3 linked regions of the Notamacropus eugenii genome follow. The protein of the gene in region 2 binds, or shares a complex with, the protein of the main gene of each other region. Links are inferred from orthologs where the notes say so. Each region holds a gene or a part of one and is shown on either strand. Other genes may lie near its edges.

Region 1 (6,870 bases), on a different chromosome or scaffold from region 2:
ACTGACTTGCTTAATTAAGGTCATACAATCTGTAATAACCATGTGACCTTACTGCTTAACCTCTTTAGGTCCTTAGTTTACCTTACCAGTAAATTGGAATAAGACCACCTGCCCTTTCTATATCATAGGATTGTTGTAAAGAAACGAATGAGTTATATCTATGTGTAACACAAGCCCTGCATTCACTACTCCAACCTCCCATTTGTACTGGGAGGGTGAGGCTGTGAAAGTCATCTAGCTACTTCTCCTTAGGGTTCTTAGGTATAACCCTTGGGAGTTGGGGGTTTTCCAATACTTTGGTTCACAGGCCCCCACCAGCACGCCCCAATAATGATTATCAACTGATATAAATTAGCCAGTCAGGCTTCATTAGCTTTCAGAGATGGGACTTGTCTGGGACTGCTTCCCACACTAAGCTGACCTAACACTGGAATGCCCACTTTCAAACTAGCTCAATATTTCTATCTAACCCACAGGATGTGACAGATACTTCCTATACACCCCAATATACTTCCTATGTAGCACCACTTCATTTCATGCAATAACTAGAAACATTTTGTTTCTTGCAAATTAACTAAAGACTTTTCTCACCCAATTGAATGCCTTAGATTCAACAGATGTATTCTTACTAATAAATATCAAGGTAGATCACATCATATTAGTTATTGTGGAGTAGGCAGACTGATTGATTCAACAAATTGCCCTCCTTAAAGTAAGACACTTTGTCAAATATTAAATGTCATAGATGTAAGGTCCATTTATTATTTACTCATTGGAAAACAAACTCTGGTGCAGACTGAGAGTGGTACTTGAAGCCAGGTTTTTCTAACTTCAAGGCTTAGTATGCTGCCTTTCTAATACTCTGCCTTGGTCAGATGAAATCTGAGTATTAAGCTCAGTTCTGATAACACAGTTGAGAAAGAATATTAACCTGCTGGAGAACAATCGGAGAAAGACACCTATCATATTATTAAGAAGGTATCAGGCATATTTATCCTAGAAAGGAAAGCTGTTATGGAGTATGTGTAGGGATAGCATTTGGAAGACGGATTAAATTTGCCTTTCTTAGTCCTAGCAGCAGAACAACGTCTAATAGGTAGAAGTCTCAGAGAGGAAGACTGAGGTGTGATATCAATCTAACAGTTAAAACCACAGTTGGACCCAAGAGTCTGGAGAACTGCTCTCTCTCCTCTCCATCAAGGGGCCCCGGCTCTTCTGGATCGAAACCCTGGGTTCAGTTCTGGTGAAGCATGACATTTAAAAGAAAGGTCAGTTTTATTTTTAGTTCTTTTTGGTTCCTTCTTGTCTTAGCACTCTGAGAAGAATTCTTAAAGGTCTGGGTTTGACTCATGTCTAAGATATTCCCAAAGAGGAGAACAGACAAGTATTCAATGTATACTGGAACAAATAAGCTAATCAGCAATTGAAAAGCTTTTTATTTCTTACACACACACAGACACACAGACACAGTTCTAAACACAAAAATATTCTCACTAGCACCCACTGACAGAGATTCAAAACAGGACCTAGTAACTTATATCTACTCCTACGTTCTCCTAGAAGGCTGGGAGCTAAAACTCCCCAAATTAAGCATTTGGTGGGATTGATGAAGGTGCATTTTCAGTTTCTCCTCAGCTCTACACAATCCAAACCATTTCTTCAAGGTTCATGCCCTCTGATAAGACCAGCCGGGGCTTCAGCCCTTCTGCTCCCTCCTACCCTCTCCAAGGCAGAAACTTCCAGCATCCCAGCTAGCTAAGGAGAAACGAGGTGCTGCAGTCAAGAGAAGGGCGGACTTAGTCAGGAAGGCGCGAGTTCAAATTCTGCCTGAGACTCTGGCTGCGTGACCCTGGGCGAGTCACTTAACTTCTTAGCCTCAGCTTCCTCGTCTGTAAAACGGGATGGGGGTGACAGCAATAAGCAGCATTTTGCAGTCTGTAGAACCCTGGAAAAGGGATTTGCAGATCTCTCATTTGGTATTTGGGGCTATTATTATCCCCACTGCACAGAAGAGGAAACTGAGTAAGAAATTAATAGCATTGCTAATGTCAGAATCACAGAATCTGGAGCTGGAAGAGATCTCAGACACCATCTCCTGAACCCATACCCAAACAAGCTTCCACTTGTCTGTACGTTCTCTGTTACTGGAATGTGCACTGACAGGAGTGACACTCGCAACACCATCCACGAACCAACCCCTTCACCCACTTTTTTTAACCATGCGGGTTGTAAACAAGGCCGACCAATCAGAGAGCAGGAGGGTGGTGTACTCGCCCACAGCCTTCTGGGAGATGTAGTCCACGGAGATTTTTCAGCACCACCCCATGAGCGAGGGTCTCCTGGCCCAAAGCATTGTGGGAAATGCAGTCCTCAGAATGCTGCTCTAAAGCGTTTGCTCTGGACCCGCGTCTGCCCTGGGGAGCTTAGCACTGGAGGCTATTAACACGCGCTTTCAAAAGCAGGAAATTGGAGAGGGGAGAAGCGTTCTTCCCACCCCCGCCGGGGGCCCCCTGTAGGGTCCGGGGGGAGCCTGGGCCAGTAGTTGCCGCGCGGCGGGCTCCCACCCAGAGCTCGATCCCCCCCCCTCCCCGGAGCTGCGGGGGCGCGCGGAGCCCACGTCGGGGAAGCTTCAGGCTGGCAGTCCCCCTCCCTGCCGCCACGGTCCCCACGGTGTGGCTGCCGCCCCGAGGCGCGGCGCGGGGATCCCAGGGGCCGCCACCTCCCTGGACAGCCGGGGCATCCAGGGCTTCGGGATGGGGGCGGGGGGTGAGGACTACAAGTCCCGAGGGGCTGCCAAGCTGCGGCGGCGGAAGGGGCGGTCTGGGGGCGGAACGGGGCGTGGGCGCGAAGCGGGGACCGCTGCCCCCGGGGTCCGCGGCTGCAGCCAGGCCGAGGCCATGTCTGCGGGCGGGAGCTGTGGCCAGACGCCGAGCCGGGCCATCCCGGCCACCCGTCGGGTGGTGCTGAGCGACGGCGCGCCGCTGCCGCCCGGGGATTACAGCACCACCCCGGGAGGCACGCTCTTCAGCACCACCCCCGGAGGTACGGTGGGGGGCGCGCCGGGCTGGGGGTACGCGGAGGGCACACCGGGGCGGGGGGCACAGCGGGAGGGGGGGAGCCGAGGCGGGCCAGGACTGGGATGGCGGGGAGGACCCGGAGAGGGGCCGAGTGGAAGGCCGGCCTGACGGCACGTGGAGAGCCCTGGATGCTCGGGCGCTCGCCTTTGGAGGAGGGGGCGCCTTCCGCGAGACCTCTGCCCCCGCTTTACCTCCCCCGCCGCACGGTCTCCGCGTCCCGGCCCCCGGCGGACCGAAGAGACAAAGAACTCTTCCCCAGCTCGAGTCCTGGCGCCGTTCTGGCCCCTCGCCCGTCCCGGGGTAGTGGCACGCCGGGGCGATGTCCGCGCGGGCACCCCTAGGAGGACAGCCCGGAGCCGGGCACTGCCAATCCTTCCTTCACCCGAAATCGCTCCCCCGGGGCGCTTTAGGGGTGGGCTTTAAAAAGCGGCAGGCTCGGTTGGAGGGGAGGCGAGGAAAGAGGAAGGTCCGGGAGGCGCCCGAGGGGAGCGTCCGTTTGACTTGCCAGTAACAGTCCGGAGTGGCCTAGAAGGAAGTTGAGCCTGGCACACGGTCGGGAAGGAGGGGGTGGGGGCAGCTTCGGGTTCCTCCGGTCCACGCAGCGTTCCCACGCAGCCCCAGGGAGTCGTGTCCGGAGGAGCTGATGAAACCCGCGCTCCAGTTTGCATAATTCCCCCCCCCTCCGATCTCCTGCCCCCGTCTCCTTTTGCCCCTTGCCAGGCTTTCGCCTCTCTCTCCAATCAGTACCCCGGGGAAGAAACAAAAAGCCAGAACCCCAGCAATTTCTCCGCTTCGAGTCGGGGCAAAAGGTCCCATTTCTGATTCCCGGCCCCAGACTGGAGGAAGGACTGAGGAAGGTCAGGGCTTGTGAATGCTGGCCTGCCCCTTCGGGGGCCACATGCTTATTTTCTCAGGCAGAGACTTGCAGCTGCCAGTCCCTTCCACGTTAGCGTTCAGCCCAAGTTGGGCACCCAGTAAGGCCCGAGCCCGAACACGGAATCCTGAGATGTTAGAACGGGGAAGAAATCTTGGAGATGATGTGTATCCGACTTCTTTATTTTTACAAGTTTGAGAACTGAGACCCTGGGTTAAAAGTGAGTTCCTATGGTCAGATGAAAAATCCCTTTGTTCTATCCAGATTTCATGAAAAGAATGCCATCATATAGCGTTTTAGCACTTAACAAAGTATTTCTCTTACCACCACATTCTGAGGTTAGTAGATTGTTACCTCTCCTTTAACAGATAAGAAACCTGAAGCTCCGAGTCTCAGACCATATTGGCCTTTAGGTCACTTCCAACTGAAATTCATTAACACTAGACTGAACCCCCTTGCCTTCCAGTTCCAAGACCAGCGCTCATTCCTTTCCACCTGGGGACTGAAGACACACTAGACAAATTTTCTTTCCTTCCACTTAGTTTTGGAAAAGCTGTTCCCTTTGCCACACATCTCAGTGACTTGTATTGACCCTCTTTTTTGAAGAACTTTTATTTTGTTTCCTCATTTTTAAGATGACGGTGTTGGATTAGCTGTTCTTTCCAGCCTTTCAGCTTTTTTTCTGTGTGTCATCTTTCCTTATTAAAATCTAAGCCCCTTGAAGCAGAGATGTGTCCTTGGTTTTGCTTGTATTTGTATCTCAAAACTCAATACAGTGCCTAAGTAAGCACCTAATAAATGGTTGTTTCCTACCTTCCCTCAGTCCATGACCCCATGTGATTGACTGTAGGGACATCCCTGAGACTTTTGAATTCAGCTCCTTTGGATGTGACTACCTATGGGGGACCGGGCATTGGCCTTTGCTTGGATGAAGCCAACTGCCCTGAGATTTAATGAGAAACATCAGCCTGTTAAAAGGGATTTTATGCCAGATGGTGTGTCGCATGCATACCTGTAATCCCTGCGCTTCATGAGCTCCAGTGGATTAAGCTATTTTGTCATCCCTATGACCCTACCCCCACCCTCCCAAGGCTTCACAGAAAAACATCCCCAGTTCTTTCAGTTGGTCTTTCTAGGACATGGACTTAAGATTCTTTACTGTTTTAGTTCAGTTAGCTAGATGGTATAGTAGATAGAGTGCCAGGCCTGGAGAGAGGAATATTCATCTTCCTGAGTTTAAATCTGGCATCAGACATTTATTAACTGTGTGACCCTGGGTAAGTCACTTAACCCTGTTTGCCTCTATTTCCTCATTGGTAAAATGAACTAGAGAAGAAACGACAAACCACTCAAGTATCTTTGCCAGGAGAACCCCAAATGGGGTCACAAAGAGTCATGACTGATTAACTAAACAAGAACAACAAAGCCAGTCATGTCTGAATAAGGTCAGGCACCGATGTGGTGAGCTCCTCTGAATGGATCGGCAGAGTTGTTGGGGGATGTGGGGGGGTGCGGCTTCATGAGAAGAGGCACAACAGTCCATGTGAGAAATACTGGTCCAGGTCTAACCGGGTTGACCTTCACTTGTAGCCTAGGAGAAAATGGGAGATCAGCTGTTACTTCCTCTTCCTGCGTTCCTTTGGACAGTGAAGAAATTCATGCATGGGGCCCCCCAGTTAGCTTCTTCCTCCCTTAGGTTGACAAACATTTGTTAAGTACTGGACACTGGGGAGTAGGAGAAAGGCCGAAACTGCCCTGCCCTCAGGGAACTTAAATTCTAAATGCTCTAAGATATTGAGGAACTGGGGGGGTACCAATGGCTGGAGAGAGAAGGGAAACCCAAGCTGAGTCTTGAAGGAAGCCAGGGAGACAGAGGTGGGGAGCACTTCAGGCGTGGGGGACAACCCATACAAAGGCCTGGGGATGGAGGGTCTTTGTGAGAGAGCCACATATCAGCCCCGGATGGTGGATCATAGAGTTCTAAGAAGTGAGTGAAGCCTGGAAAAGTAGGAAGAGGCCACTTTATGAAGAGCTTTAAATGCAAATACCAAAGGTATTAAGAGGCCGACCTCCAATCTGGAAGTCTTGAATTCAAAGCCTGCTTCAGCACTTATTAACTTTGTGCCCCAGGGCCAGTCACTTAACCTCTCTCAGCCTCAGTTTTCCGATCAGTAAAATTGGGATTTTTATAAAATGGGTAGGGCAGCTGAGTAGCAAAGTGGCTAGCTGGGGCCTAAAGTCAGGAAGACTCATCTTCCTGATTTCAAATCTGGTCTCAGGCATTTACTAGCTGTATGACTATATGCAAGTCATGTAACCCTGTTTGCCTCAGTTTCCTTAAGTGTCAGATAAGCTGGAGAAGGAAATGGCAGTATCTTTGACAAGAAAACCCCAAATGTCAGGAAGAATTGGACACAACTGAACAACCACAATGGGGATTATTACGGTCCTTACTTTATAGGGGTTTTGATGAGGAGCAAATGAGTTAGCATATGTACAGTGGGTTACAAACCTTAAAGCCCTTTGTAAATGCTAGTTTCCAGAGGACTTTATATTTTATCCTGACAATCTGCAGTTGTCGTAGGGAAGGGGCTGCTTTATTGGATCATGAGTTCTCCCTCCAGAGCAACAGAGGAAGGGAAAGAAAACGAGGACTCCCAGAAGGCAGTGTCCATTTGCTCAGTGCCTTCCCATAGGCAGTCCCCTTCCCCCCAACCCCAGGCAAGTCAGACCGGGTTTTCACCTGCCAAAATCAATAGATCTGACATAAATAGCAAATCTATCCACTACTCGCCTTACTTCCCTCATCCCCACCCACTTTCCTTTCCCCTAAAATATTCATCCCTCATCCCCAGGGCCCTTTTTTAGCTTTAATGAAGTTTGACGGAATTAAGAGCAAGTTACACGTGTGAACAGTGT
Region 2 (6,870 bases):
TCTCATTTATCCAAGGTCTCCTGCAAACCATTTAGTTGATGTCTAAGTGCAAACACAGAAGTCAAATCCCAGGTATCAGGTTCTACAAGCAAACTGAATGCCAGTTTGCCAAGGCAGATAAAGGGCTGGTCAAGGCATGCATGAATACGTAGGTATAAACATGATACTCTAAGACAGACAACGAACTACTTCTAATCATTGCAACAAGAGAAGACTCACAGAGGCAAATGTGCCGATCTGCTTAATGTTCTGCTCATAGCTCTGTGAGCTGGTTGGCCGGCCTGGTGTCCTCCGGGAGTACCAGAAAGTGTAGTTGTACTGCAGTGGGTGTTCTGAGGGCCCAGGGACAACAGCCTGTGGAACAAAGCAATCCACTTAGCCCATGGCAACTCACTCCTTCCAGAAAGAGAGGCTTTTTAGTGGCCTTCCTCAGCACTCCTAATCCTCCCCTACCCCCAAATAAAAGGTCCATTTAGCCCCTAAATTAAGTAAGGATAATTAACTCTGTTTCTGGCAGTTCCAGTCATAAATCCTAGATATACAGGAGAATGTACACCACTTCAAGGACCTATGATAAGAGAAATGTTCCAAGTTATAAGAGAAATTCCGGAAAATCCCCTTTCTCAAGACAAAATTCTCTCAATCCAGCATGATGGGTATTCAAAGCAGGGGGAAAAGCCTTGAAGACCAAAAAATCTCTGAGTAAGGGGATGATGTTTTCAGAAAAAAAGAGGATCTGTGAGATGCCCTGGAACTCTTGGAATAAGCAGATCTCACCAGCTTCCCAAGATTTAAACCTGCTGATGAACGCATCTGAGAACATAGCTCCAAACACACCTTCCTCTTGTTGCTGCTCTGACTTTTGTCTCGCTCACTTTTTTCCTTCTCACCGTCTTTCTGTGTGCTGTTTTCTTCATTCTGGTCATGGTCCCCACTGTCATCATCCTTCAAGCTGAAAGAAAAAACAAAACAATGTTCCTCCTATGGCTGAACTATCTCTTCTTCATCCAAAAGAACCAGGAGATTCTAAGATTCACTGTCTTGAATAAAGAGAAACCCCCTAAATTCAGCGTGGGTGTGGAAGATGACCAAAGTTAAAACAAGGAAAGGACTCCTGGCAGCTCCCAAGCAGAAAGCCTATGTCCGCACATGAAGACCCCGAACAAACCACAGGCATCAAAAGTGCATCATCCCAGAATGCCAGGGCTCCAGCCTGGCCCTGCTAAACCCTCTGGGTGCCCCCTTCCCAATTCAACGCATAAGGATCGGGCACTAATTCTAGGACTGGAGAAAGACAGGAAGGACTAACTCAAGGAGAATGGACTCGGCACAAAAGGTACTCTAAATCAACAACAAAGTGGGAGCTCTGAAATCACTGTTGGCTGTTGCCCTGTAGCTCAAGGGAGGTATGTGGTTAATGCAACTAAGACTAGAAATGCTCAAACTATACCCTAGGTTAGAGGCATTAAATGCATGAATTTATTATAGAAAAAGGTGATTAATTCAGGTTCCAGCTCCCCTGAATAAGAACCCACCATCAACCAACCTTCACTGAGCATTTGCTACTTGGAAGGAGTGGGGGATGAGAGGGCAATGAGCCCTCCTTGCTCCTTCTGCTTTCTCTTAAGAGATCAGCTTCCGATTATTCTAAATACATCTCATCCATGGCTAGTAATTCTTGTGTTGTCTTACTAAATGCTTGCTGACCCACTGACATGACGTGACAAGTGACTAGACAAAGCACCAGATGAATGCTGCAGACAGTAAGCGCTATAACAGGACACAGGAGCTACAGGAAGGGCTCCATAGCATTGGACAGATAAAACAGAGATGAGAGCAAACACAGATACTGGGCAAACGCTTTTCCTAATGAAAGAAAACTTGACTCAGGAAACCTTCCTGAGGAACCACAGAAGCTGAGGCCTGACTACACGGTTCTACCTTCAGTTGAGCAACATCTGTGACAGTGAGGTACTCAGTCTTTATGGGAAACCTCCACATCCTATGAGGACACTCTCTCCACTCTGCCTCTGCAGGGTCTACTCCATCCTCCTAATTCTACCCCTACCCCAAGGAAAACAAAGCCTCTCCCACCTGCCAGCTGGCCAAAGCCTTCCCAGTTGCCTTCTCTTCTCTGGGTTTAACATTCTCAGTCCCTGGAATCAACCCCTAGAAAACCCAGTTTCCATTCCCCTTGTGATCAGAGTCTCCTTGTCTACCCTTTCCCCTGTCCCCTAGCCCTTCCCCTCCCCCACCTTGGGTACACACTCTAGCTGGCCAGTTTCTTTCCCCAGATGCAGTGCACAGGACTGAACCCACCCCTTAGACGCCCTGTGATCAGGGCAGAGGACAGCCATGGCCTCCTTAGCCTGGGACATTGGGGTGTTCACTGAGCCTCTCCCATTCTGGACTTGTACGGGTGATTTTTTTTTTAAGACAAATGTAAGACTTTATATTTCTCTTTCATCTTATTAAATCTGGTCCTCAGCTGCCAATTCTACCATCGTGGGACATGGATTCCAGTGATGTTAACAATACATTGCAGCTTCTAGGACCACCTCAAACACTTAAAATGCAGGAACCCTGATTCTGAGCAGAAATACTCTTATCCTGTAACTGAACAAGTCCGCTTTAGCAACATGAAATTGGAGTTTCTCTTCACACACGTCTACGAATCGACCGTACCGTGTCCTAATCTTACAACAAAGCTCTGTATTATTCCAAGAAAGTGAAGGAGAAACCTATCTGAGGACAGAACGGTGGGAGAAGGGTGGAGGCCTTGGAAGTACATTTCCTCTCGGCAACCCAGTTACTTGTGAGACATGCACTGCTTAACAGTAACAGAAGATATAAGGAAGTGGACTTTGACAAATTTCTCAAGGAGTGTTTTCTGTGCCTGGAAAGAAGGAAGCTAGGGTACTAGTCAGGAGATCTGAGTTTGGGTCTCATCAATGTCTTCACCAAGTCCTTTTCCCTCTCTGAGTCTCAGTTTTCCCATCTGTAAAAGGAGGGGGCTAGCCCTGAGGCCTGGGGCCCCTTCCAGGACTTCTATCTTGGCTCTGTTACTTCCTAGCTGGGTGACTCTGGGCCAGTCACTTCCCCTCCTGTGAGAACTCCTGTAGGGCTCACAAGACCACGGGCCTGGGGAGGCAAAGGACCCCACGAGTCCAACCCAGCAGAAAGAGAGCCTGGCCCAGCTCAGGCGGGAGCCGGTCCTCGCCCCTTCTCCAAGCCCTTCCTGCCCCTCCTGCACAGTGACTTGGCCAAGGTCACCCAAGGTGCCAGGGCCTGGTCCCGGACTCCCGCCCCCTCCAAGACAGGGGAGCCGCACGTGGTTGCAGGACACTTCCTGGCCCCCCCCCCATCGCCCAGCTTTCCGTCTGGCTTTTACCTCTTCAACACTGGCTGGAAAAGCCCCAGGCCCCGCAGAATGGAAGTTCCCGGAGGGCAGGGGCCCGGCCCCCAAACAGTAGGCGCCTACTGTGTACGGGATGCACCCCACCTGTCTGGCACGCGGAGGGCGCGCTGGGGGCCTTGGGGGCTGCCCTCGGACAGCTTCCACCCCGCGACTAAGTAAGAAAAGGTAAACTGAGGCCCAGAGAAGGGACTTGCGCAAGGTCACAGAGGGTCGTGGCAGGGTCAGGATTCGAACCCAGGTCCTTGGGCTCCACACCCAGCGCCCTCGCCGCTGCACCGCACGACCGCCCCGCCAGGCACCCCCAGCGCTAAGTCATGCGCGCCGACGCGGGGGAGCGACGGGGTGGGCGCCCCGGCTCTGCCCCCCCTCCCGCCTCCCGCCCCAGCCCGGGGCCTCCCTTCCCCCGCCCGGGGGTCCCCGGCCCCGGCCTCGGTCCCGGGCGGGCCCCGGCGGGGGCGGGCTCAGGCTCAGGCCGGGCCCGGGCCCGGGGCGGCGGTTAGGGCCGCGCGCCACGCCACTCACGCGTCGAACTTGTTGTTCATCCTCTCACCGCCGCCGCCGTCGTCTCACTCGCTGACTTCCGCTCCGCCGAGTCCCTCGGCCTCGGTCCCCCCGGATACTTCCGGTGGCGCTGCGTACAGCCGGAAGCACAGCGCGCGAGCCCCCGGCCGAGGTGGGGGGGGAGCGGAGCGAGCGCCTCTTCGGGAAGGCGGGGTTGGGGCTGGGGGCAGGACCGAGCGAGGCGCCTGCGCAGTGCTGGGCTGGGCGGGGGCGAGCCGGCTCCTCCTCCTGACCACGGCTGAGGGCGGAGCGAAAGGGGGCGGGGCAGAGCTGACGACATTCCCGCCCCTACGCGGGGCGTGGAGAAGGAGGTGGGGGGGCCGGGCGCCGTTCAGTCCGCTCTCCTCCTTACAGAAGAGGAAACTGAGGCCAGGGAAGACAAGGGGCAAGAGGTCGCGGGTCCAACCCCCTCAGCTTACAGACGGGGAAACGGAGGCCCCAGGAGAGGGGCTTGAGACCCCTCCAATCCAACCCCTCCATTTCACAGAGGGGGAAACTGAGGCTGGGGGGCAGTCACTTCCCCAAAGCTCGGCTCTGCACATGCCACCCCCTCCTCGGCAAAGCCCAGGCGCCCCCTTCGTCTCCAGCATCCAATACGGGGGCTTTGTTTGGCTTCCAAGCCCCCCCACCCTTGCAGCTGCCCCCGGACCCTCCCTCTGGGCTCTGGGCATCTCTCTGGCCATCCCCCAGGCCTGCAACACGCCCCTCTGCTCTGACCACTGACCTCCCCGGCCTCCTTTTGGCCCGCCCCCATCACCTCCTATTTATCCCATGTGTTCCTTTATATACATTTGCTTATATGTGTCTCCACCTTTAGATTGGGAGCTCCTGGAGGGCAGGGACCATCTGCCTCTTTTCATCTACCTGGTGCTTATACAGAGCAGGGTATACAGTAGGTACTTAATAAATACTTATCGATCAATGATTGTGGTGTCTACAGTCCCTTCCAGCTCTAAAATCTATGATCTTTCACCTTGCGATACCTTCCAGTCTTTTCTAGCAGTTTAATTGTGAAAGAGAAAAGAAATGTGGGGCATTGGCTTGAGGGGATGCTAAGGGAAGGTCAAGAGTTTAGGCTTGGGGTCTTCGGATAGGAAACTGAAAACAGCAAGGACAGGTTCTGCTTCTGAAGGAGTATGATGGGGATGGGATCCAGTACACAAGGGTAAAGTTTGGCTTTGCCTAGGAGACAGACACATGGTCCTCAGAATCCAAAGGGAAGGAGGAGGAGATAAGGGATGCTTAGAGCAAGGGTTTGGGGAGAGGGTAGGACACAGTTAGGGTTATTGTGAATACCTAAGTAGGAGGCCAAGTCTTTTGATGACCAAGTTTGGACAAGGAGAGATTTATAAGACTTGAGAAAAAAAAGGGAAGTTTTGAGAAAAGCAACAGATCAAAATAAAAAGATTGTCTCAGGGCCCAGTTGAGATCAGGTCACATAAATCTGTAATGGACCCAGTAAGGCAAGGTTGGATGACCTCCTCCGTTGGCCACAAGGAACAGAGAAAATGAATGGTACTGGTAGGAGAAAGGGACAAGGAAATTCCATGTAGAGGTCAGGTGATAGCTGAGCTGTTTAATTCTAGTCTGAAGACTTCAGAGGAGAAGCATGAGGCCAGATGGAGTAAAGAGGAATGAGTCACATGGATACGTGGAAGTTGTGGTCAGAGAAAGGAACTTCTGAGTTCTAGATCACGAAGGTAAACCAGTTCTGGATGACAGTAAGATCAAAAGTATGAGCACCCCTTAGAAGGAGGAGGCCAGGGTGTCTGAGGGGAAACAACACACACATTGGAGTCCTTGAGTATGTCAGCAGGAGTTGGGCTTGAGACCATGAGCCAGATACTGAAGAAAGGCAGTGAGTGTGGAAAATTTCAGATTCAGAGTCAAAGGACCTGGGTTAGACTCCCTGCCTCTGTGACTTTGGGCAAGTCCCTCAACTTTTCTGAGCCTCGGTTTTCTCATCTTTGAAATGATGGAATGGTAATACATAACTTTTAAGGTTCCTTCCACTTTCAAATTTATTCTGTAATATCTGGGCTCAATCCCAACTCACAGAGCTGTTAAGCCTATGGATTTGCATTTACTTAAAATTGTAGCTGGGGCCCCCACAGGTGTGTTCACTTTTAGTGATCAGCCAGAAGACATGAGTGAGAAGATATTGCACCAGATTTCTGACAGTATCAGAGGAGAGAAGGGAGTATATTAGAGAGATATTGCAAAGGTGATATTGACAGATCTGGCAACAGATTGGTTGTGGGATGTGAGAAAATGAGGATGACACCTAGGATGAGAGTCTATGAAACTGGAAGGATAAATGAACCTGTTGAAAATCAGACGTTTCTCTCTGCTTCCAGCTGTGACCCTTGGAAACAAGGCTCACTCTCTTTGCACCATACTTTTGGCTTAAAAACAAACAAACCAGGGCTTTCAAAATAGCTATAATAATAAAGATACTATAACCATCAACATAATGATAGTTAACATGTATTTAGGCACAGCACTAACTGAGGTACTGATGACTACAGGGCATTGTGGTCCATTGGCTCATTTGCATGTGACTGTTTTTAGACTTTTAAGAGATTATAACTGAGAAATTATAAATTAAATAACTAGTCAGGGTACCATGGGAAAATCATATAAGGATTGCGGAATCATAACCTGACAAAAAGTTAGAATTTTTGAGATTAAAATCATATTAGAGATGGATTGTTGCTTATAAGGCGACCCTGCATGGAGGCTGGCATTTTCAGCCGCAGAAAAGTAGAATAAAGTGAAAGCGAGGTAAGAGATGGCCAGCTGAAGACAGAAGTGAGAGCCAGCTGAGCACAGGCAGGTGAACGGACACATAAGAAACCAACAAGGAGAAGCAGGCACGTAAGAAGCAATTG
Region 3 (6,870 bases), about 2.1 Mb from region 2:
CTGCGCTAATACCCAGAATACAAAGAAAGGCAAAACAGTCAAACTCCTTCAGGAGATTGTGATAAGGAGGGACAGACCATCAACACTCCAGGGAGGGAATGGGTCTCCACAGAGGTCGTTTGTAGTTTGTTAATTCATTTGGCTCCATCTTGTCAAAACCAAAACCAAAAACTTAGGTTTTTATACCATACAAATCACCAGTTTTATTTTGAATGCTTATCAGATTATTGGTTTTTATTGGGCATTCAGTTTTATATATGTGTGAAATGAAAAGGTGTGGTAGAGATAGGGCAAGACTTGGAACCAAAGGTCCTGGATTCAAATCTTGCCTAGGTTACTTACTAAATATGTGATTTTGGATCAGTCACTCAACTTTTCCAGGCCTGCTTCCTTGCCTGCAAGATAAGGGGGTTGGACTAAATGATCTGTAAGATGTTTTAAAGTTCTAAATCCTATAATTCTGTGAGTTGTTTGAATTTAATTTGCTAGGCAATAGGGAGCTGTGGAAGGTCTGGTTTATTTTTTAGGGAGAGGTTACCAGGAATGTCAATGATGCTTTACCACAAATATTAACAACAGGTTGCTGACTAGATGGGAGTTTCTACTTTACCTCTTCCCTGCTTCATTCTCTTCATCAAACAGCTTTTGGCATAGGGTTTCTAGGAGGGAGAAAAGTGCTCTGGAAATCTAAATGGATTGGACGAACAGGAGTTATTGTTTTTCCTTTGTGTTTGCTTTTGTTTTTTAGGTGGGAGAGAGAACTGGACTTCACTGGTCTAAGTAACTTGTGGTGAGGAGTCCCAGCTCCCAATGCAGCCTGACCCTTGGTGTGGGAGGACTCTGAGGCTAAGTCAGTGCTTGTGGTGAGATGCAGGGTTTGAACTCAGGGATTCCCAAGCTTAGGCACCATGCTGCTCATAGGCATGAATAGTATCTGTACCATGAGAAAGGAGGAACTACAAAGGTAAAGAACTTGGGGAAACCCAAGAAAAGACTTGCATGCAAAACCAGGAGCCCTGGATGCTTGGCAATGACAGTGATGTCAGAAAGGTTGCTTAAATAGACTTGGCACCGTGTGGGAAGGACCAACTTAGACTGACACACTCTGGACATAACCACAGTGGGGACTACAGATGCAGAATGGTGCAGATGCTGTCAGACATATGCCTTGCAGATTGCTTTTGCAGAACTTTTTTCTTTTTTATAAATGATAGGAAAAGATGAACTCAATGATTTTACAAAAGCATGAAAAGCCTTGCATGAAATAATGAAAAGCGAAATGAACAGAACCAGGAGAACATTGTATACAGTAACAATATTATTTTATGAATGACTTTGGGCAACTTTTTTCACTATTATATTCAAATGAACTCTAAAGGACATATGAAGAAAGATGCTAGCTGCATCCAGAGAAAGAACTGATTAACAGAAGCATATGTAAAGTAATATTACAGATATATACTTATTTGTGTCTAATGGTAGCCATAGAGGGGGAGGGAAGAAAAATCATTTACGTGATAATTTTCTTGTATATTTGGGACAGCAAATTATGCACAGTAGATGCACAGTTTCATATACAATCATCTTTTTATTGTACTGTTATGGAAATGCTTATTTTATGCCATAAAATAAAAATAAAAGAGTAAAGCTCATGGGGGGAGTAAAGGTGGGGGGAGATGAGGGCAATAATCTCGAAGCACTTGATATAAAAAAAAAGCATCAATGAAACATTGATACTCTTTAAAAGAAAAAGCAACAAAGTGAATAACAAAAAAGAACTTGGGAAGTTCACAGTTTGCCCCTGAATAATATGAAATTAAGCCACCCTTCAAGGCAGTATGTCTTCAAATCCCTCCTGGCCTTCCAAATTCAGCTCAGGCCACCTCTGCAGGAAGTCATTTGTGATTCTCCCAGCTATTTTCCCACCAAAATGACCTAGTATTTGTTTGGTCTGTGTGGCGGTGTCTCCCAGTTTCTTGAGAACACGACTGTTTTATTTTTCATGTTCATACTCCTAGCACCCAGCGCAGCAACTGGCATGGGAGAGGGAATTAATAAATGCTTGTTGCCTACAGTAGGTGCTTAATAAGTGCTTGACTGGCAGATTAACTGGCGACCGGGATCTAGATTGGCACCCTAGTGCGCTGAGGTCCCAGGCTCCTCTTGAGGCTTCTGTTCAGTCCTGTGGGACTCTTCCTGACCTCAGCAGAGATACTGGAATGGTTGCCATGTCCTTTGACAGATGAGGAAACTGGGGCAAACAGGGTGAAGTGACTTGGCCAGGGTCACACAGCTAGTGGTGCCCAGGGCTCTGCCACCCAGCTGCCAGGCTCCTCTAGAGGCAGGGAAATAGAAAGAGCACTAGACAGTAGAGTCACACGAGGTCTGGGTTCCTGATCATGTGACGCTCTGAGCCTCAGTTTCTCCATTCGTAACTTCAGCCAACAATTCCACTCTGCTTTAAAGGGTGCGATGTTTGACTTAGAAATGTTGTTGGGAAGGGATACAGAATCTGTCTCTGGAGTTTACTACCCAAGTGACCTTGGGCAACACGACCTCCCCGTGCCTCAGTTTCCTCCTCTGTCAAACGGCCGTTCCGGAGTGGCTCGCACCTCAGCCCCAGAATAAAGCCTGGCTCCGGTAATGACTTGCTGAATCCCGATTGGCTCCCTGGAGCATGAGTCATCCGTCTCGAGAGTGGGCATAGAAATAGCAAGATGGCCGCGTCGGGGGCGGGCGCGCCACTGCGCCTGCGTCGCCCCTCCCTTGCCTCTCTCGGGACATCCGGGCTTCGGCACTGATCGAAAGCAGGGAGGAGGCGGAGCGACTGCCCCCGTCCCGTCGCCTCGTGCGGCGTCGCGTTGCTCGCGTCACGTCACGTGCCGGCGCGCGGCGACGTGGCGGCCATCTTGTGTTGTCGGGGCTGAGGGCTGACTGGGATTCCGAGAGACTCTCCGTCCGGGACCGCAGGTAACCGGCGCCCGCCCTGTCCGCCGCCCGCGGCCCTCCTGGCGCACCCCGCCGCCACCGCCCGGAGCCCGGGGCCCAGGCCCGAGCCCGTCCCGCCGCCGCCGCCCCCGCCGCCGCTGGGCCCTCGCCCAGGCCGCTCCGGCAGCCCCGGGCTCTCCTCGGGCTGGCGGCCGAGGGACACGTCAGGCTCCCGGGGCCGCCTGGGCGGCCTCCGCCCGAGCGCTGCCTGCTCCCGCCTGTCGGGTCCGTCGGAGAGGGGGCAGCGCCGGGGTCGAAGGCCGCGGCTGGGCTGGGCCTGGAAGCGAACCCCGCCCGGCAGTCCGGGCCGCCGGGGGGACTGGGGTGGGCGGGGAAACTGAGGCCGGCGGGCGAGGGGCCGGCACCGGCCCAAGGTCAAGCTGCTGGTGGGCGGAGGCCGCGCGAGGCCGCCCCCTCGGCGGGCCCCCCCTCCTTCCCGGGGGGAAACGGAGGCCCGGCTTTCGTTGGCGCCCGCCCAGAGGCTTCCCCCCAGAGTCAGGCTGGGGGCGGGCGGGGGGGGAGGCCGGGGCTCCTGCCGTCCGGCTGCTGTCCCGCTCCGTTCTCCCAGTCTCCCGACTGACGACCCCCATTTTACAGATGGGGACACTGAGGCAGGCAGAGGCGTCGAGTGACTCGCCCAGGGTCACCCAGCTCGAGAGTGTCTGAGCCGGACTTGAACTCGGGCCTCCCCGACTGCCCACTGGACCGCCGGCCGCCTCTAGTCCAAGGTCACCCAGGTAGAGGAGGAGCCTAGCGGGACCCTGAGTCCTAGGGAGGTTTGATGACTTGCCCAAGGCCGCTAAGCGGGAACTCGGCTCTGGGCCCTCACAGGTAACACGCCGGGATTCGCACCCAGGGCCCCGACTCACCCGAAGTCTGGTTTCCCCCGGGGGCCTCCGCATTGGTACAGATGGGCAAGTTGAGGCCCTGGGGGGGAGGTCACGTGAGCCCGAGACAGGACTTGGGAGTTGAAGGCAGGAGCCTGTCCCCTCCCCTGGAGGAGGGTTTGGAAGCTGGGGTCCCTGAGCTTGGTCCTTTTTAAATAAACGATTTGATAGCTGTATAGGGCTGGAATTCGTTTCCCATGTGATCCTAAACGTTTTGTTACATGCATTTAAAACCTGAGAGGGGCTTGTTGGAGTTACCCGTCCTGGCCGAGGGTCCCAGACCCAAGGAAGGTGGGCCGTCCTCAGATAAGAGAGTGCCGCCCACTGCTCTTGGGCTCCGACTTCTATCCAGTGGACAGTTCAGGTCGGTGACTGAGTGCTGGGATGCAGAGATAAAAGGGCCAGCCTTTGTGAAGGAGTGCCCAGGCGCAGCGCTTGCCTTCAAAGAGCTTAACTTCTGTAGTTATCCTGGAGCTCCATATTGTTTAGCGCATTGTAGTGAAAGTCAGAACACTTAAAATGCTTCTTTTCGGTGGTGGTGGGGACGTTCCAGCCCCTCCAATTTTGCTTTCAAAAAGGTAAGGCTTGAATGTGTTACTCCAATCTTAAAAGTCAGATGGCAGATGGCCAGTTTTATCTTAGTATGTGGAGAAGAGCAAGGTAGATTTATTAAACTTATTCTCTGTTGTAGAGTAGTCCTTTTAAGATATCTATTTGCTTTTTCAAAAAAAAAATCCTTTTTTAAATCTTCATTTGTTTCTAGAATTCTTTCTGGGCATCATGACTTCTGTAGTTTTTTCCAATTTTAGGTAGATAACAACTAATTTCTCTTACTCATTGACATTTTTATGTGTTTTTAGCAGTTTCTGTAGCAGCTTGCAGAGTGGACAAACTGGTATATGTACTTGGCTGTTGCATCAAGAGTTTCTCATCAGACCTAACACCAGGAAACAATTTTAAAGTGGGATGTACCTGGAAAAGTGACACGATTCCATTCACATTTAATTCTGAGAATTGTGTTAGCAAATGATACCAGTTTTACTAGAAATAAGAGTTCCACATCATTTTGGCTCAGGATAATTTCTTTTTTAATTTTAAGATAACTACCTATTTTTAAGAGTTGGGCTTGGGAGAGCCAATGGATGTATTTGTACAAATTTGAAAAGTTGTTCATATATTGTGTAGCACAGTAGTTGCCAAGTGTGTATTGACTATTGTGTAAGCTATCTGGGGAGAATGGCAGGGTGAAGGCACTTAAGGAGTTCACCTAGTCCACCCCCTTCCTTTTCAATATGAAACTTAAACCCTCTCCATATAACTTAGCTTCTTTTGTTTGGGAGTGGGGGGTTGTTTTCTCTCTACTCAAAACCCCACTTCCCCCTTTCTCCAGTGTCCTTTTGCAGGGCAGTTAAATTCTAGATATGTGGATGTTTGACTATCAAAATTTTTTATTGGGGAAAAAAAGCTGAGAATGCTTGTTAAATTTAGGTAGTACATTAAGGAAGTTGGTGTGAACTGGTTTGACAGACTCTTTGAAGCTACCTGGTCTCCAATAAAAAGTACTTTTAATGAGACTGATGCCATACTGTTACTGATATTTTTCAAGAATAACCACACCTGAAGGAATGTTTTGAGGGGGTGTGTTGGGGAGAAGACTCACCAGTAATTCTACAAGTATTTTTTCTCTTGCAAAATTAGATACTTAACGAATATAACCAGTTCATTCTAGTTGGCTGTATTTTAGCTCATACAGCTTTTCTTCAGTTGGTAAAGAATTGATTTTTACCATGTTTTTATGAAGTCTCCTTTTAAAGGTTTTAGGGCTCTTGCAGCTGAATTAGCTGCCTTTATGGTGCGTGTAGAATTTCATTGTCAGAAGAATCTTCCTTTCTCTTGTGACTTTGTTTTACTCCCAGAGTTATGTCTTTGGGAGTTTTTCCTAAAGTCCACTGGTTGTTTTTACTTTAATACAGATATTATTTTTTCTTAAAAATAACATCTTGATTTCCAGGTTATCTGCATCTTTGTGATGTTAGTGTTAAATACAGTATTCCACTCCTCATGATAAATTTAGGATCCTTGAAGTATGAATACTTTATTGACAGATTAGATTTCACTGATTTATTTTTCTTTTTTGTCACTTCATTTCTGTTGCATAAATCAAAACAATTCACTTGCTTCAGAGCCTTGCAAAAATGGGAATATTTGAGCATCATGCTGATAGAAGAACTCCTTGGATGAAAGATACCAGTAAAAGAGCATTAATGATTTAGAATGATTTCTCTTTTACTTGATAAATTGAATTTTAAAATGTAAAAGTGTGACTTGTTATTACAATATATGCTGATTTTTCCCCCTCATCTTGATCTTCAATAAACCATTTTTCTGCATTCTTAAATAATTATTGACTGTTTTTGTATATTGTCATTGAAAGATATCTGCTGACAGTAATTTAGCTATGTGAGTTTGGCTGAAAAAGATCAGTGTCATTTCCACATTGTTTATTATTGTAAGTATCTGACTTGGTGATTAGATACTTAGTGCTTTCCTTTTTGTGTCTGTATGATTAATAATAGGACTATTACTGTTAGGTTGAAATACACAAGAGAAATAATGTTGGTTACTCTGGATTTTTGGGAAGTGAGTTTAGTGCCCTGTTTTTTCTCCTTCAGCAATCTGGATTGATTTAACATTTTTGGGTATTGGTATTCAGACATTTCTCTTGAATACTTTGGTTCTAGAGGCACTCAATCTGTTGTTCAAGCTTTAAATCAAAGTTGCTAATGAGTAACTCTTTTTTATTTACAGGCAGAACCAAATAAATAGCTTTAGGGTGTTCTGTGAATTATAGAAACGACCTCAGTAGATATTCCTCTCCAGTAAGTCACACTTATCCTTAGAGATAAATGTCTCTTTGTGGGTCTTAGGGATAGAGGGATATCCTTTAGGGTAACCTACAAGTGAAAATATTTAAGATATATTTAGGCAACCTGAG

The links. Proteins that work in one complex are often made in the same cells at the same time.
Region 1: the proteins of EIF4E2 (region 2) and EIF4EBP1 are in contact, whole or in part, in a crystal structure (PDB 5NVN), measured with the Homo sapiens proteins. The link is inferred for Notamacropus eugenii from reciprocal best matches to the Homo sapiens genes EIF4E2 and EIF4EBP1. Residues at the interface, in NP_004837.1 of Homo sapiens: Glu53, His54, Pro55, Leu56, Gln57, Tyr58, Tyr64, Arg66, Lys83, Gln84, Ile85, Gly86, Val91, Glu92, Gln93, Trp95, Arg96, Phe97, Ser99, His100, Met101, Val102, Leu107, Phe113, Glu149, Asn150, Leu153, Gly157, Glu158, Gln159; in NP_004086.1 of Homo sapiens: Arg51, Ile52, Ile53, Tyr54, Asp55, Arg56, Phe58, Leu59, Met60, Cys62, Arg63, Ser65, Val67, Thr68, Lys69, Thr70, Pro71, Pro72, Asp74, Leu75, Pro76, Ile78, Pro79, Gly80, Val81, Thr82, Ser83.
Region 3: the proteins of EIF4E2 (region 2) and GIGYF2 are in contact, whole or in part, in a crystal structure (PDB 5NVM), measured with the Homo sapiens proteins. The link is inferred for Notamacropus eugenii from reciprocal best matches to the Homo sapiens genes EIF4E2 and GIGYF2. Residues at the interface, in NP_004837.1 of Homo sapiens: His54, Pro55, Leu56, Gln57, Tyr64, Arg66, Asn81, Lys83, Gln84, Ile85, Gly86, Thr87, Val91, Glu92, Phe94, Trp95, Arg96, Phe97, Ser99, His100, Met101, Val102, Leu107, Phe113, Glu149, Asn150, Leu153, Leu156, Gly157, Glu158; in NP_001096616.1 of Homo sapiens: Leu38, Ala39, Asp40, Tyr41, Arg42, Tyr43, Gly44, Arg45, Met48, Leu49, Leu51, Phe52, Leu53, Asn56, Lys57, Ile58, Pro59, Asp61, Leu62, Asp64, Glu66, Phe67, Pro69, Ile70, Leu71, Gln72.

The regions. Positions count from the first base shown.
Region 1 is NC_092872.1:622,943,845-622,950,714, reverse strand, and holds the start of EIF4EBP1 (eukaryotic translation initiation factor 4E-binding protein 1), read left to right. Parts: upstream 1-2,802; 5' UTR 2,803-2,897; coding exon 2,898-3,042; intron 3,043-6,870. UniProt on the Homo sapiens protein: Repressor of translation initiation that regulates EIF4E activity by preventing its assembly into the eIF4F complex: hypophosphorylated form competes with EIF4G1/EIF4G3 and strongly binds to EIF4E, leading to repress translation.
Region 2 is NC_092873.1:57,579,968-57,586,837, forward strand, and holds the start of EIF4E2 (eukaryotic translation initiation factor 4E type 2), read right to left. Parts: upstream 4,172-6,870; 5' UTR 3,961-4,171; coding exon 3,941-3,960; intron 3,672-3,940; exon of another isoform or gene 3,392-3,671; intron 953-3,391; coding exon 838-952; intron 355-837; coding exon 220-354; intron 1-219. UniProt on the Homo sapiens protein: Recognizes and binds the 7-methylguanosine-containing mRNA cap during an early step in the initiation. Acts as a repressor of translation initiation.
Region 3 is NC_092873.1:59,712,104-59,718,973, forward strand, and holds the start of GIGYF2 (GRB10-interacting GYF protein 2), read left to right. Parts: upstream 1-2,872; 5' UTR 2,873-2,970; intron 2,971-3,585; 5' UTR 3,586-3,769; coding exon 3,770-3,819; intron 3,820-6,870. UniProt on the Homo sapiens protein: Key component of the 4EHP-GYF2 complex, a multiprotein complex that acts as a repressor of translation initiation. In the 4EHP-GYF2 complex, acts as a factor that bridges EIF4E2 to ZFP36/TTP, linking translation repression with mRNA decay.